Stegostoma tigrinum: one gene and its partner. The main gene of each other region encodes a partner of the protein of the gene in region 2 in a complex. Links are inferred from orthologs where the notes say so. Each region holds a gene or a part of one and is shown on either strand. Other genes may lie near its edges.

Region 1 (6,823 bases), on a different chromosome or scaffold from region 2:
CCCTCCATATATAGTCTGTGAATTTCTATTGTCACAGGCAATTTGGATTTCCTGCTATAAGTTGATTTGGTGTTTATTTGCACATTATCTCTCTCTATCTTTTGCATGGGTTTCTTGGCCGGTTTAAGGTCATGTGGTTTTTACTTAGCCATTAATTTACATTGTGCGTCATGTAGACTTTGTTTTTTGCATTGAAGACAGGTGTTGTTACAGCTGCATAGGTCTTAAACTTGATGCACAGCCAGATACAGAACAAGGCCTCATACTCAAAATGCATTGTCTGACCTGGCTTGTCATCTCTAGTGTACTGAGGGAACTGATAAAGCATTTATTTATCTTTGGGCTGTGATTTGAGAGAAATTCAGGAATTTGCATATTAATCTTTTCGAACTGATTAAATATTTAATAGCCATTTTAAATTGCTCAACATCACATCAGTTCTATGACCCTTTGATCTTTTGTTTATAAATTCTGCATCCGATGCCACCTCTCTCACTGATACCTGAAGAAGGAGTGAGACTCCAAAAGCTCATGCCTTCAAATAAACCTGCTGGAATATAACCTCATATCATGTCATTTTTGACCTTCACCACCTCAGTACAACACCAGCATCTCCATATCGTGACTTCAACATGTACAAATTTACGTGGCACTTTACTGCCCTCACCAAAGGCTGTTATCCAGAGGAAGGAGGGAAAACCAAGGTTAGGCCCTAATCAGTTGGAGGAGTTGCTAAGAGGTACAAATTTCAGAGAAACCTCGGTTGTCAAATGGGAATCCAGGCTGGATTTTAGGTGTAATTTACTCCCTTAACTATTAACTCTTGACATTGTTGTTGATGTTAACAGGACTTCTCACAACAGTACTCTCTTCTCCCTGGCACTGTTCATAATAGCTGCAGCTTGATTGATAATGTGTATCATTAAAAATATGGCTTGGCCAATATCGTTATCCAAAGCTTTCTTTTCAAAGAACAATCTATAGATGATGTCCGACCATTGGAAGCACAGTTGCTTTCTCCCCTTTAGATGCTAACCATGGGACGTGGAACCCCGAAGGAGATTAGATATATGTACACAGGCCAGGAAATGAACAATGCAATGTACCTTTCACAGAATACCACACTAGGTGGGCAATACCCACATCCATTGGGTCATGTACGCACTAATTATTTTAAACTATTGAAATATTTTTGGGTAACTGCAACAGTGGTATTCTGTGCCACCTGAATTTTGATCTGATTGGTTCCAGATGATGTCACTCATAGATGCACAATCCAGCTTCTTCTCTCAGGGCTTTAGTACACTGAGCGATCTCGAAACTTACAAGAAACAGCTTGCAGAGCGGGTTTGTGTGAAGCTTGTAAAATGCTCCTGTATTTTCATTCTGGACTGAGCACATTAACTCTGTTTTTCTCTGCGCAGATGCTTCAGGCCTGCTAAACTTCTCCAGCACTCTCTATGTTTGTTTTAAATGCCTTTATTTGGTGATCCATCATTCTTGTTTTTCCACAAGTAAAACAAACCCAGTCTGACAATCCTTTTTGATTAAACATGCCCACGCTGTTAAGGTATCATCTACACAAATCAGTCCTGAATTGAAATGCTGGGGTCACACTGGGAGGCAGAAAAGGCTGTTATGGAAATCTGACTAAATGCTTAAAGCTGCACCTCCCCTTTAAACTGTTGGAAATTTTTTGCAGTGAGTGAAGCCTAAGCAGCCAAACTTTGAGGCCTGAATGATGTGTTGATAAATTTTGTGGATAACTAGGTGTTGTTTAAATGTAAAAAGTCTATGGATGAAGCAGTTCCATTCTGTTAATCCCAGGTCTCACATATTATTATCTGAATGGCAATTCATTGGGAAAGGCGGAGGTGCAACAAGGCTAGTGTGTCCTCATACACCAGTCACTGAAAACAAGTATACAAATGGAGCAGGCAGTGAAGAAGGCAAATGGTGTGTTGCCAGCTACAATGTGAGGACTCAAATATAGGAGCAGGGATGTCTTGCTATAGAATCTTGTACAGGGCCTTGATAACAACTGTAGTATTATGTTCGCTTTTGGTCACCTTACCTAAGGAAGGAAGTTCTGTCTACGAAGGGAGTGCAACAAATGACAGAATTAACTGGAATGACAGGACTGACATACAAAGAGAAATTGTACCGATTAGGACTATGTTCACGATTCATAGAAACTGATTAAATTCTAACAGGTCTAGACATAGTAAATGCAGAAAGGATGTTCTCAATGACCAGAGATTCCAGAACCTGGGGTCATAGCCAAAGGTTATGGGCAGGACTGAGAAGAGGAGAAATTTCTCCACCCAGAGTGCTGAGCCTGTGGAATTCTCTCACAGAAAGTGATTCATGGCAAAACATTAAATGTTTTGAAGAAGGAATCAGACATAGTTCTTAGGGTATGGGACAAAAGCAGGAACAGGATATTGTATAGAATGATCAGCCATGACCATATTGAATGGAGGAGCGGGATCAAAGTGCCAAATGGCCAACCCCTGTTCCTATTTTCCATGTTTTTATCTCCCCCTACCTCAACACCCCACCATACCTCCAGATCCGGGCTCAGATTTGTTGTCAGATGCCAAAATGGGGTCACAATGTGAAAACGTTTGGGAAGTAAGTGTTGTAAACCTTCTTTAATCCCACTTCACTGCCTCAAAATTCTTTTTATAACACAGGAATGCCACAGTATCTTTTGTCTTAGCTTACCAAGATTTTAGCCAGGCAAATTCAGTATCACTTCTCTCACTTTCAATTTGATTTGTCTAGAAATAAAGCCCACTGCAAGGGTTCCCATTTTTGTGGACAGGCTTTAGTGATTGATGTATTTGCATTCGCAGCTCGCCTTGCTCCTCTGCTCATCAGATGCTCACACCTTCCAGATAATAAGTGCCCCCTCCCTTTCTTCTTGCCCAAATATACTTCATCCTGTCATCAGGTCTGAAGAAGAGTCATGCGGACTTGAAATGTTAACTCTGTTTCTCTCTACACCTCAGATGCTGCCTGACCTGCTGAGCTTCGTCAACATTCTATTTGTTTCACTTTGTCTTACCTCTGAGTTAGAAACATAAACCTAGATCAACAATGCAAGCTACAGCATGGTAAGACTCACTGCAATTCAGCAACAATTGGAGAAGAATGTCACAGAAAGTCTTGTGGCGTAGTGGTAGTGTTCTCACCTCTGACCAAGGGGGCTGAGTTCTTGCCCTCCCCGCCCTGGAATAGAAACGTTATGAAACAACCAGGATAAATGTTCAGTGTCAATCTTCCAATTGTGGTGGAGGAACACAGCAGGTCAGGCAGCATCAGAGGAGCAGAAAAGTCGAGGTTGGCTTTCCTGCTCCCCTGATGCTGCCTGACTCGCTACGTTCCTCCAGCTCCACACAGTGTTATCTCTGACTCCAGGATCTGCAGTCTCTGAGGGTAAAGAGGGTCGTATAGCGCACTGGACTCGGAGACCAAATACAAGTCCCACCTGCTTCCAAAGGCGTGTTAACAACACCCTTGAACAGGTTGCTTAGAAAAATATCAAAAATACCCAAAAGAGCACGGATGAGAAATGTATGGAAGGAGCAGGCAGTGGAGCTAGTTTTGTTTGGAATTATGCTCGGCATAACCTGGTTGTCCTGTTTCCGTGCTGCACAGCTCGACATCAACCTTCAGTTGCTGTGAACCGACACAGCGCTCACGCTTCACCTGGGCAGGTCTCGGGGGCGCTTATGCGCGTACGCGGCGTGCACGCGCTTGGGGCGGTGCGCAGGCGCAGAGTGGAGCGGGTCTTCCCTCCACCTCTGACCCCCCCCCCGCACCAAGACCGCCCCGTGCGGAAGCGGTGGCCTCGAGTTCAGTGAGTGACGGTTGGAAGCTGCTCCGTGTTGTCTCTCCTCTGCCCGGCGACATGTCCAAGAACACCAGCGCCGACAAGTTCCGTCGGGTTAATGTCGATGACTACGACGAGAACAACTACGTGGACGAAGAGGAAGGAGGCGAGAACCAGCTGGGTCCCGACGAAGTCGAAGTGGACGCTTCCATCAGGCAATATCCTTCCTGAGTTCGGGCCGCGGGCGTCGGGTGGGGAAGATGGAGGTGGGGAAGCGGCGGTACCGGGGCTCTAGGCCCTCGGGCCAACTCAGGAATGAACAGTACCTGAGGATGCAGTCCCAGAGAGAGCGGTACCGGGGCTGTACAGTCCGGGTGGCCCGCTTCCTTACAGACTCTGAACTGTTCATTCACTCAGTAGGAAGTCCCTGCCTGACGGCTGCACCCGCTGCATTTTCTTGTGATCTGGGCGTGGTGTTTTTTTTATAATTTAACTTGCATTGCAACCGTTTAAACATTATCTGAACACCTTAATTATTTGAACTTCTGCATTTAATGCGATTGGTTTATTTATTTTTGAAATGTTTCCTTTACCGGCGAGATTTAGCTCTAAGAATCTCTTGTATTTGCATAGTGTCAGTTGCATTCTAGGGTGGGACACAAATGCTGAAGCTTTGGCCCCTCTCGGAAGAACCTGGCTGAAGGTTCAGTCCCGAAGTAGGCTAGGATGTCGGTTAGTTTAAGATCAAGGCAGTGGCAGTTTGCCTCAGCTAAACAGGGGATTCGTAGAACAGACAGGCGTGAGGATATGAAGAAGTTTAAAGATGACAATTTTATTTTGCTTTCGTGAGCGTTTCAGTTCATATTTACGGAGGGTGGATATTACGGGAGTGTACTGTTAAATGCAGGCTGGGACTTGGATATTTGTGGACTGGAATTCTTGCAGGTTGTAATTCAGGAGACAGTTGAGGATTGGATTGGATGAATCAGGCTAAGGGTTGCATTAAGCAAAAGGTCAGAGTGCTTGACAGAATATCAAACCACAGAAGGACACATTCGGACAAGTGACCAAAAGCTTGTTTGATTTGACAGGCTTTCAACAACATCTTAAAGGAAGAACTAAAGACGTGTAAGAAGGGTATTTCAGATCCTGGAGCCTGAAGGCATGGTTGCGAGTGGTAAAGCAGTGAAAATCAGGAATGAGCAAGATGTGTGGTAGAATTGTTCAAGTGGAAAAGGGCAAGAAGCATGGCTGTGGAGGGAGTTGAAAACAAGAAGATTTTTAAAATCAGGGAATACCTGAATGGGAATCATTTTAAGTCAGTTCAAACCATAAGACATAGGAGTGGAAGTAAGGCCATTCGGCCCATCAAGTCCACTCTGCCATTTAAATCATAGCTGATGGGCATTTCAACTCCACTTCCCTGCACTCTCCCCATAGCCCTTGATTCCTTCTGAGATCAAGAATTTGTCGATCTCTGCTTTGAAGGCATCCAATGTCCCAGCCTCCGCTGCACTCCGTGGTAATGAATTCCACAAGCCCACCACACTCTGGCTGAAGAAATGTCGTCTCATTTCAGTTTTAAATTTACCGCCTCTAATTTTAAGGCTGTGCCCATGGGTCCTAGTCTCCCCTCCTAATAGAAACAACGTCTTAGCGTCTACCCCTTCTAAACCATACATTATCTTGTAAGTTTCTATTAGATCTCCCCTCAACCTTCTAAACTCTAATGAGTACAATCCCAGGATCCTAAGCCGTTCATCATACTTTAAACCTACCATTCCAGGGATCATCTGTGTGAATCTCCGCTGGACACGCTCCAGGGCTAGTTTGTCCTTCCTGACCTGTGAGGCCCAAAATTGGACACAGTATTCTAAATGGGGCCTAACTAGAGCTTTATAAAGCCTCAGAAGCACATCACTGCTTTTATATTCCAACCGTCTTGAGATAAACGACAACATTACATTCGCTTTCTTAATTACGGACTCTACCTGCAAGTTAACCTTTAGAGAATCCTGGACCAACACTCCCAGATCCCTTTGTACTTCTGCTTTACGAATTTTCTCACCATTCAGAAAATAGTCCATGCCTGTATTCTTATTTCCAAAGTGCAAAACCTCACATTTATTCACATTGAATTTCATCAGCCATTTCCCGGACCACTCTTCTAAACTGTCTAAATCTTTCTGCAGCTTCCCCACCTCCTCAGTACCACCTGCCTGCACACCTATGTTTGTATCATTGGCAAACTTCGCCAGAATGCCCCCAGTCCCTTCATCCAGATCATTAATATATAAGGTGAACAGCTGTGGCCCCAACACTGAACCCTGCGGGACACCACTCGTCACCTATTGCCATTCCGAAAAAGAGCCTTTTATCCCAACCCTCTGCCTTCTGACAGGCAGCCAATACAGCAAACAGGTGATAAGTAAGTGGGATAACAAGGTGTAGAGCGTCTGGTTTTCTGAAGAAGGGTTTTGAGCCAAAACGTCAGCTTTCCTGCTCCTCTGCTCCTTGGCCTGCTGTGTTCATCCCACTCTACACCTTGTTATCTCAGATTCTCCAGCATTGGCAGTTCCTGCTATCATAAGTAAATGGGACGTAGGTTAGCAAATGGGCAGTTGTGTTTTTGATGAGTTCAAGTTTGAAGACATTGCAAGGTCGGAAGCTCACCAGTGTGGAAAGATTGGTAATAAATATACAACTAACTAAGGCATCAACTAGATTTCATCGGTAGATGAAATGAGGCATGTTTAGGACAGGTGATGTTACAACCATGTAAGTGGCAGTTTTGGCAGTAGAGAGGATGTAGGGTCAGAAGTTCAGATCAGGGTTGTTTGTAATGGCAAATTTGTGAACGTTCCAGCTTCAGACTGTGCCCACAAGCAGGTCATTGAAGGGAGATTACGGCATTTTTTTTTGATGGCAGTAAATAAAGATCAAGAATGTAAAGCGTGAGGAAGGTGATAATTAAAGGGTGCTGGA
Region 2 (7,312 bases):
AAGATAGTGATCTCTGAAATTATGGTATGTCTGACAGAAACAAGAAAACTTGCTTCCACTTGTGCAGAGGACAAGAACTGGCAACTATGAAAAATGTTACCACAAATAAATCCAGTCAGAATCCAAGTGAAATGGCTTCACCAGAATGGTGAGCGGAACCTATCACCACAGGGAGCAGTCGAGGCCAGCAGCTCTGATGCCCTTGAAGGGAACTTAAAGAAGCATATAATGGAGAAAATAGTAGAAGGATACATTGATAGAAAACTACTCAAACCTAACAGACAATTCTCCTACGACATTCTCTAACTTTAAAGCTCATGACTTTTGAAGGATGTTCAAACCATTGCAGAAAAGACAGCAATCAATTTGCAAACAGCAAACGTCCTCAGCCAGACAAACAGTTAAACTCTTGCAATTCCAATACACAGATTTTGGGGGAAGCAGGGGGAATGGGTGAAAAGGGATAAAGTAGTGGAAGAATGGTGTTGGGGAGGTCAAGGAAAGCAGGTGGGGTTGGCAGGGAGGGTGAGGAGGGGATGGAAACGTGGGGGTTTGGGGTGGAATTTTGGGAGGGGAGGGGGGGCTGGAATTGTGGAGGGGGGGTTGGGTGGGGAGGGGAGGAGGGGGTGGAATTGTGGGGGGGGGTATGGGGAGAGAAGGAGGGGGTGGAATTGTGGGGGAGGTGGGGAGAGGAGGAGGGGGTGGAATTGTGGGGGGGGTGGGGAGAGGAGGAGGGGGTGGAATTGTGGGGGGGGGTGGGGAGAGGAGGAGGGGGTGGAATTGTGGGGGGGGTGGGGAGAGGAGGAGGGGGTGGAATTGTGGGGGGGGGTGGGGAGAGGAGGAGGGGGTGGAATTGTGGGGGGGGTGGGGAGAGGAGGAGGGGGTGGAATTGTGGGGGGGGTGGGGAGAGGAGGAGGGGGTGGAATTGTCAGGGGGTGGGGAGAGAAGGAGGGGGTGGAATTGTCAGGGGGTGGGGAGAGAAGGAGGGGGTGGAATTGTCAGGGGGTGGGGAGAGAAGGAGGGGGTGGAATTGTCAGGGGGAGGTATGGGGAGAGGAGGGGGTGGAATTGTGGGGGCGGTGGGGAGAGGAGGGGGTGGAGGGGAGGGAAGGAGGGGGTGGAATTATCAGGGGGGTATGGGGAGAGAAGGAGGGGGTGGAATTATCAGGGGGGTATGGGGAGAGAAGGAGGGGGTGGAATTATCAGGGGGGTATGGGGAGAGAAGGAGGGGGTGGAATTGTGGGGGGGTAGGGAGAGAAGGAGGGGGTGGAATTGTCAGGGGGTGGGGAGGGAAGGAGGGGGTGGAATTGTCAGGGGGTGGGGAGGGAAGGAGGGGGTGGAATTATCAGGGGGGTATGGGGAGAGAAGGAGGGGGTGGAATTGTAAGGGGGGGTATGGGGAGAGGAGGGGGTGGAATTGTGGGGGGGGTGGGGAGAGAAGGAGGGAGTGGAATTGTCAGGGGGTGGGGAGGGAAGGAGGGGGTGGAATTGTCAGGGGGGTATGGGGAGAGAAGGAGGGGGTGGGGAGAAAAGGAGGGGGTGGAATTGTCAGGGGGGTATGGGGAGAGAAGGAGGGGGTGGGGAGAAAAGGAGGGGGTGGAATTGTCAGGGGGTGGGGAAGGAAGGAGGGGGTGGGGAAGGAACGAGGGGGTGGGGAAGGAACGAGGGGGTGGGGAAGGAACGAGGGGGTGGGGAAGGAAGGAGGGGGTGGGGAAGGAAGGAGGGGGTGGGGAAGGAAGGAGGGGGTGGGGAAGGAAGGAGGGGGTGGGGAAGGAAGGAGGGGGTGGGGAAGGAAGGAGGGGGTGGGGAAGGAAGGAGGGGGTGGGGAAGGAAGGAGGGGGTGGGGAAGGAAGGAGGGGGTGGAATTGTCAGGGGGTGGGGAAGGAAGGAGGATGTGGAATTGTCAGGGGGTGGGGAAGGAAGGAGGGGGTGGAATTGTCAGGGGGTGGGGAAGGAAGGAGGGGGTGGAATTGTCAGGGGGTGGGGAAGGAAGGAGGGGGTGGAATTGTCAGGGGGGGTATGGGGAAAGGAGGGGGTGGAATTGTGGGGGGGTTGGGGAGAGGAGGAGGGAGGGGAATTGTCAGGGGGTGGGGAGGGAAGGAGGGGGTGGAATTGTCAGGGGGTGGGGAAGGAAGGAGGGGGTGGAATTGTCAGGGGGTGGGGAAGGAAGGAGGCGGTGGAATTGTCAGGGGGTGGGGAAGGAAGGAGGCGGTGGAATTGTGGGGGGGGAGGGTGGGAGAGTGGGGGGGGAGGGTGGGAGAGTGGGGGGGGAGGGTGGGAGAGTGGGGGGGGAGGGTGGGAGAGTGGGGGGGGAGGGTGGGAGAGTGGGGGGGGAGGGTGGGAGAGTGGGGGGGGAGGGTGGGAGAGTGGGGGGGGAGGGTGGGAGAGTGGGGGGGGAGGGTGGGAGAGTGGGGGGGGAGGGTGGGAGAGTGGGGGGGGGGGGAGGGTGGGAGAGTGGGGGGGGGGGAGGGTGGGAGAGTGGGGGGGGAGGGTGGGAGAGTGGGGGGGGAGGGTGGGAGAGTGGGGGGGGGGGAGGGTGGGAGAGTGGGGGGGGGGGAGGGTGGGAGAGTGGGGGGGGGTGGGAGAGTGGGGGGGGGGGTGGGAGAGTGGGGGGGGGGTGGGAGAGTGGGGGGGGGGGGGTGGGAGAGTGGTGGGTTGGTGGGTTAGTGGGTTGGTGGGTTAGTGGGTTGGTGGGTTGGTGGGTTAGTGGGTTAGTGGGTTATTGAGGTGGTGGTGTGACTGCCTCAGATACCACCCCCTCCCCCAATCCCAGACGGCGCCTCACTTCCTCATACCTTCCCCTGGGACGGCGGGCCGAAGAGCCAGCACTTACCCCAGTGCCATTGTCGCAGACCACCACCTTCCTACCCTGGCTGTCCATGGTCCGCTCCCGAACCGCTACCGCCCTCTGTCCCGGTGAAACTTTCCACCCGCCTCCCGACACCGGAAATCACTGTCCGCTCGCTCCCGCTCCAGAGGGCGCGCCGTTCCCACGTGACACTCCGCTTCCGATAGGCGTGGCCGGGTGCTGCCAGAAACGTCGTGATTGACGTGAGGTGGGCAGAGTGCCGTTGATTGGCAGTGAGGAGGCGGGGTCGGTAAGGACACTTCAATATTAATTGGTTGATAACGCTCCGCGCCCGGCTAACCAATAAACTTCGGGAAGCGACCGGTGGGCGGGACATTGGAGGGGGAAGTCTAAAATAAGTCTTTTTGAAGAATATTTAAGGTATCTTTTAAGTTCTAGTTCTTGTACTGTGATCTGATATTCTTTAAAGCTTAACAAAACATTTCTTCTCAGCTTGAATGATTGTTTTAATGTGATTGGTCCCTAAAGGGGGCCAATCAGAGTGCAGGGTTGGTTGCTATGGCGGCGGCGGTCGTTGGAACCTGGGCCTTTTCGCTGGCTGCGGTGGACAAGGCCCGGTTGCTGTTGGCGACCGGCCGCGGGGCCTCGGCCACCGTCCAGGAGGCTATGGCAGGTGATGTATTTTCATGATGGTCGTGCCGGCCTTTACACCCACAACAGCAGTTCTCCAAGTTCTAAAGAGTACCTGCTCCCTCAGCACTGACCCTCCGACAGTGCGGCGCCCCGTCAGCACTGACCCTCCGACAGTGCGGCGCCCCGCCAGCACTGACCCTCCGACGGTTTGCCCGCTCGCTCGGCGCTGACCCTCCGACAACGCAGCTCGTTTCCTTTGATAGATACTTTGTCATACAAACTGGAGACAGACCTTTCAGTCCATCTTATCCACGCCACTGGAGAATCCCAAACCAAACTAGTTCCATTTGTCAGCATTTGGCTCTTATCCCCATAAAATGGGGTGCAAGATACACCAGGAGATAGAAAAGCTGTGTAAGAAAGGCAAAGTCACAGTGATCATGGGGGATTTCAATATGCAAGTGGACTGGGAAAAACATGTTGGTAGTGGATTGCAAGCAAAGTAGTTTGTGGAATGTCTGTGAGATGGCTTTTTGGAACAGCTTGTGGTGGACCCCATGAAGGAACATGCAATACTGAATTTAGTGTTTTGCAATGAGACAGACTTGATAAAGGAGCTAAAGGTAAAGGAACCCTTAGGAAGCAGTGATTTGAGAGGGAGAAGATAGAAGTATTACAACTGAATAAAGGCGACTACAGAGTTATGAGAGACGAGCTGGGCAGAATTGATTGGAAGAAGAGCCTAGCAGGAAAGACAGTGGACAGCAATGGCGAGAGTTTCTGGAAGTAATTCAGGAGACACAGCAAAAATTCATCCCTCAGAAAAAGAAGCATGGTACAGAGAGGATGAGGCAACCAAGGCTGACTAAGGAAGTCAGGGTTAGAATAAAAATAAAAGAGTAATTAGTAATGTGGCAAAGGGCAGTGGGAAAACAGAGGACGGGGAAGCTTACAAAGATCAACAGAAGGCAACAAAAAAAAAGAGGGAGAAGATTAAATATGAGAGTAAGCTGGCCAGTAATATAAATGAAGGCTGTAAGAGTTTCTTTAGGTATATTAAAGGGCAAAAGAGAGCCCAAAGTGGACATTCCACCACTGGAAAATGAAGATGGAGAGATAGTGGGGAACAAGGAAATGGTTGAGGAACCGAATAATTACTTTGCGGCAGTTGTTAAGGTGGAAGTCATGAGTAATATCCCAAAAATTCAAGAGAGCTGGGGTGGAGCTGGGTATGGTGGCCATCACCGAGGAAAAGGTGCTGGTAAAACTGATTGGCCTGAAGGTGGACAAATCACCTGGATCAGATCGACTACACCCCAGAATTCTAAAGGAGATAGTGGAAGCGTTAGTGGTGATCTTTTAGGAATCGCTAGAGTCAGGGAGGGCCCCAGGGACTGGAAAATTGCTAATGTAACACCCCTGCTTATAAAGGGAGTAAGGTAAAAAAATGGAAAATTATAGGCTGATTAGCTTAACGTCTGTCATTAGTAGGATTTTCGAATCCATGTAAAGGATGAGATTTCTGAATATTTGGAAGTGGAGTGAAATAGGGCAAAGTCAGCATGGTTTCATCAAGGGGAGGTCATGCCTGGCAAATCTGCTAGAATTCTTTGAGGAAGTAACGAGCAGGGTAGACCAAGGAGAGCCAATGGATGTTGTCTACCTCTACTTCAAGAAGGCCTTTGAAAGGTGCCACACAGGAGGCTGCTGAATAAGATAAGGGCCCACAGTGTTAGAGGCAAGGTTCTAGCATGTATAGAAGATTGGCTGTCTGGCAGAAAGTAGAAAGTGGGAATAAAGAGGTCTTTCTCATGATGGAAGCTGGTGACAAGTGGTGTTCCACAAGGGTCAGTGCTGGGACCACAACATTTCACTTTGTACATGAATGATCTGGATGAAGGAACTGTGGGCATTCTGGCTAAGTTTGTGGACGATACAAAGATAGGTGGAGGGACAGGTAGTATTGAGGAATTGGTTCGGCAGCACAAGGTTAGGACATTGGGCAAAGAAGTGGCAGATGGATTACAACGTGGGAAAGTGTGAGGTCATGCACTTTGGTTAGAAGACTAAAAGCATGGACTGTTTTCTAAATGAGGAGAAAATTCAGAAGGCTGAAGTACCAAGAGACTTGGGAGATCCAGTTCAAGATTCTGTCAAGGTAAACTTTCAGGTTGAGTCCATAGTCAGGAAGGCAAATGCAATGTTGGCATTTATTTTGAGAGGACTTGAGGGGGCGATCTGATTGAAACTTTCAGAATACTGAATGGCCTGGACAAAGTGGATGTTGGGAAGATGCTTCCATTGGAGTCTAGGACTCTAGGACACAGTCTTAGAGTCAAGGGAACGTCTTTTAGAACGGACATAAGAAGAAACATCTTCAGCCAGAGAATGGTGGATCTATGGAAGTCACTGCCACAGAAGGCTGTGGAGGCCAGGTTATTGAGTACATTTAAGACTGAGATAGATAGCTTCTTGATTATCAAGGGGGGGTCAAGGTTTACGGTGGGAAAGCGGGAGAATGGAGTTGAGGAACTTAAGAGCCATGATTAAATGTCGGAGCAGACTCGATAGGCCGAATGGCCTAATTTCTGCTCCTATGTCATATGGTCTTAAACATTTTCTATTCACATCCCATCCAGATACCTTTTCGATGTGAATGTCCCCACGTCTGTTTCTTCGTCTGGGTTCATTGCCTATACGCACCAGCGTCTGTGTGAAAAAGTTGCCCCTCATGTCCCTTTTAAATCTATTCCCTCTTACCTTCAACCTGCACCATCTAGTTTTGGACTCCCTTACCCTAAGGGAAAGACCTTGACTATTCCCCTCATCTCTACCTCGCATGATTTTAAAAACTTCTCTAAGGATTTGGAACAGTTCTGTTTAATCTCCCGCGATTCCAAATTGTGTTCATAATCTTGTGTAAAAGAATTACTTTTATTTTTGTTCTGCAGTTTGTGATCTCAGGACGTCTGGAAAGGGCTGCAGAAATGTACTGTATAGAAATTCAGTGCAAAGTTTAACTTCAGGAGACGAGTCAAAGCCAACTGAGTTTGACCTGCCTGAATGTCTGAATTTTGTGATGCATTATGTTCTCGTCAGAAAGCAATTTTTGATTTACCCAATAAACAGCAAGCAGCAGACTTCGGAGAGGAAGATTAGAAATGAAGTGTTTGTTTTTCATGAGATTTGAGACCCCTGTGCACCAGTGTTCATAGCTCAACACAAATAGAGGTTGTGTAAGTTACTGCTAGCGAATCTATCAGCACATTTTTGGAAAGCATTGTGATTGAAACTTGATTTGATCTTTCTGTATCGCTTGTTGCACTGTGTGCTGTGAAACACAGGCTGAGCTGCATGATTGGATTAATGATTTTCAAGATCAAGACTTGTTATCATAAGACAGCATTTCAGAATCCAACTATGGCACATGTGGATTTTAAGTTAACTTTTTATTCAGATGATCAACTTATGATCAGCCATCGCAATTATGAAACAATGTTGTCATATAAACCTGTCAGGTTATTCGTATTCTCCAGCAAAGAATTGCATCCAATTTATGCACTTCCAGTTTGAGCCTAGAGAAGGTATAAAGAATCTTGGTGAAGACGTAGAGAAAGCGAGTACCAGGAGGTCACTGGTGCTGGAAGGTGGATGGGGTCTGAATGGAGTAATTAGGGAAGGACAGTGGTGTGTTGTGATTGGGAAGTATTACTGAAACTCAGAGGGAGAATCTACAGGCCAGTGTGGCCTATTATCATGCAGCAATCGGGGCAACACCAGGAAGAGAGGCACAACAGGATACTGATGAGGTGGACAGACTGAGGCGGATGTGTGGAGCAACAAGAGCGATCAAGATCAGAAGTCTATAAGCA

The links.
Region 1: actin-related protein 2 (region 2) and actin-related protein 2/3 complex subunit 5-like share a complex: the UniProt entries of both Homo sapiens proteins name them as parts of the arp2/3 complex. The link is inferred for Stegostoma tigrinum from reciprocal best matches to the Homo sapiens genes ACTR2 and ARPC5.

Annotation. Positions count from the first base shown.
Region 1 is NC_081361.1:45,984,413-45,991,235, reverse strand, and holds the start of actin-related protein 2/3 complex subunit 5-like, read left to right. Parts: upstream 1-3,804; 5' UTR 3,805-3,916; coding exon 3,917-4,057; intron 4,058-6,823. UniProt on the Homo sapiens protein: Component of the Arp2/3 complex, a multiprotein complex that mediates actin polymerization upon stimulation by nucleation-promoting factor (NPF).
Region 2 is NC_081362.1:2,370,223-2,377,534, reverse strand, and holds the start of actin-related protein 2, read right to left. Parts: upstream 3,003-7,312; 5' UTR 2,880-3,002; coding exon 2,832-2,879; intron 1-2,831. Other genes in the region: zgc:153169 (N(4)-(Beta-N-acetylglucosaminyl)-L-asparaginase), read left to right, coding at 3,366-3,480. UniProt on the Homo sapiens protein: ATP-binding component of the Arp2/3 complex, a multiprotein complex that mediates actin polymerization upon stimulation by nucleation-promoting factor (NPF).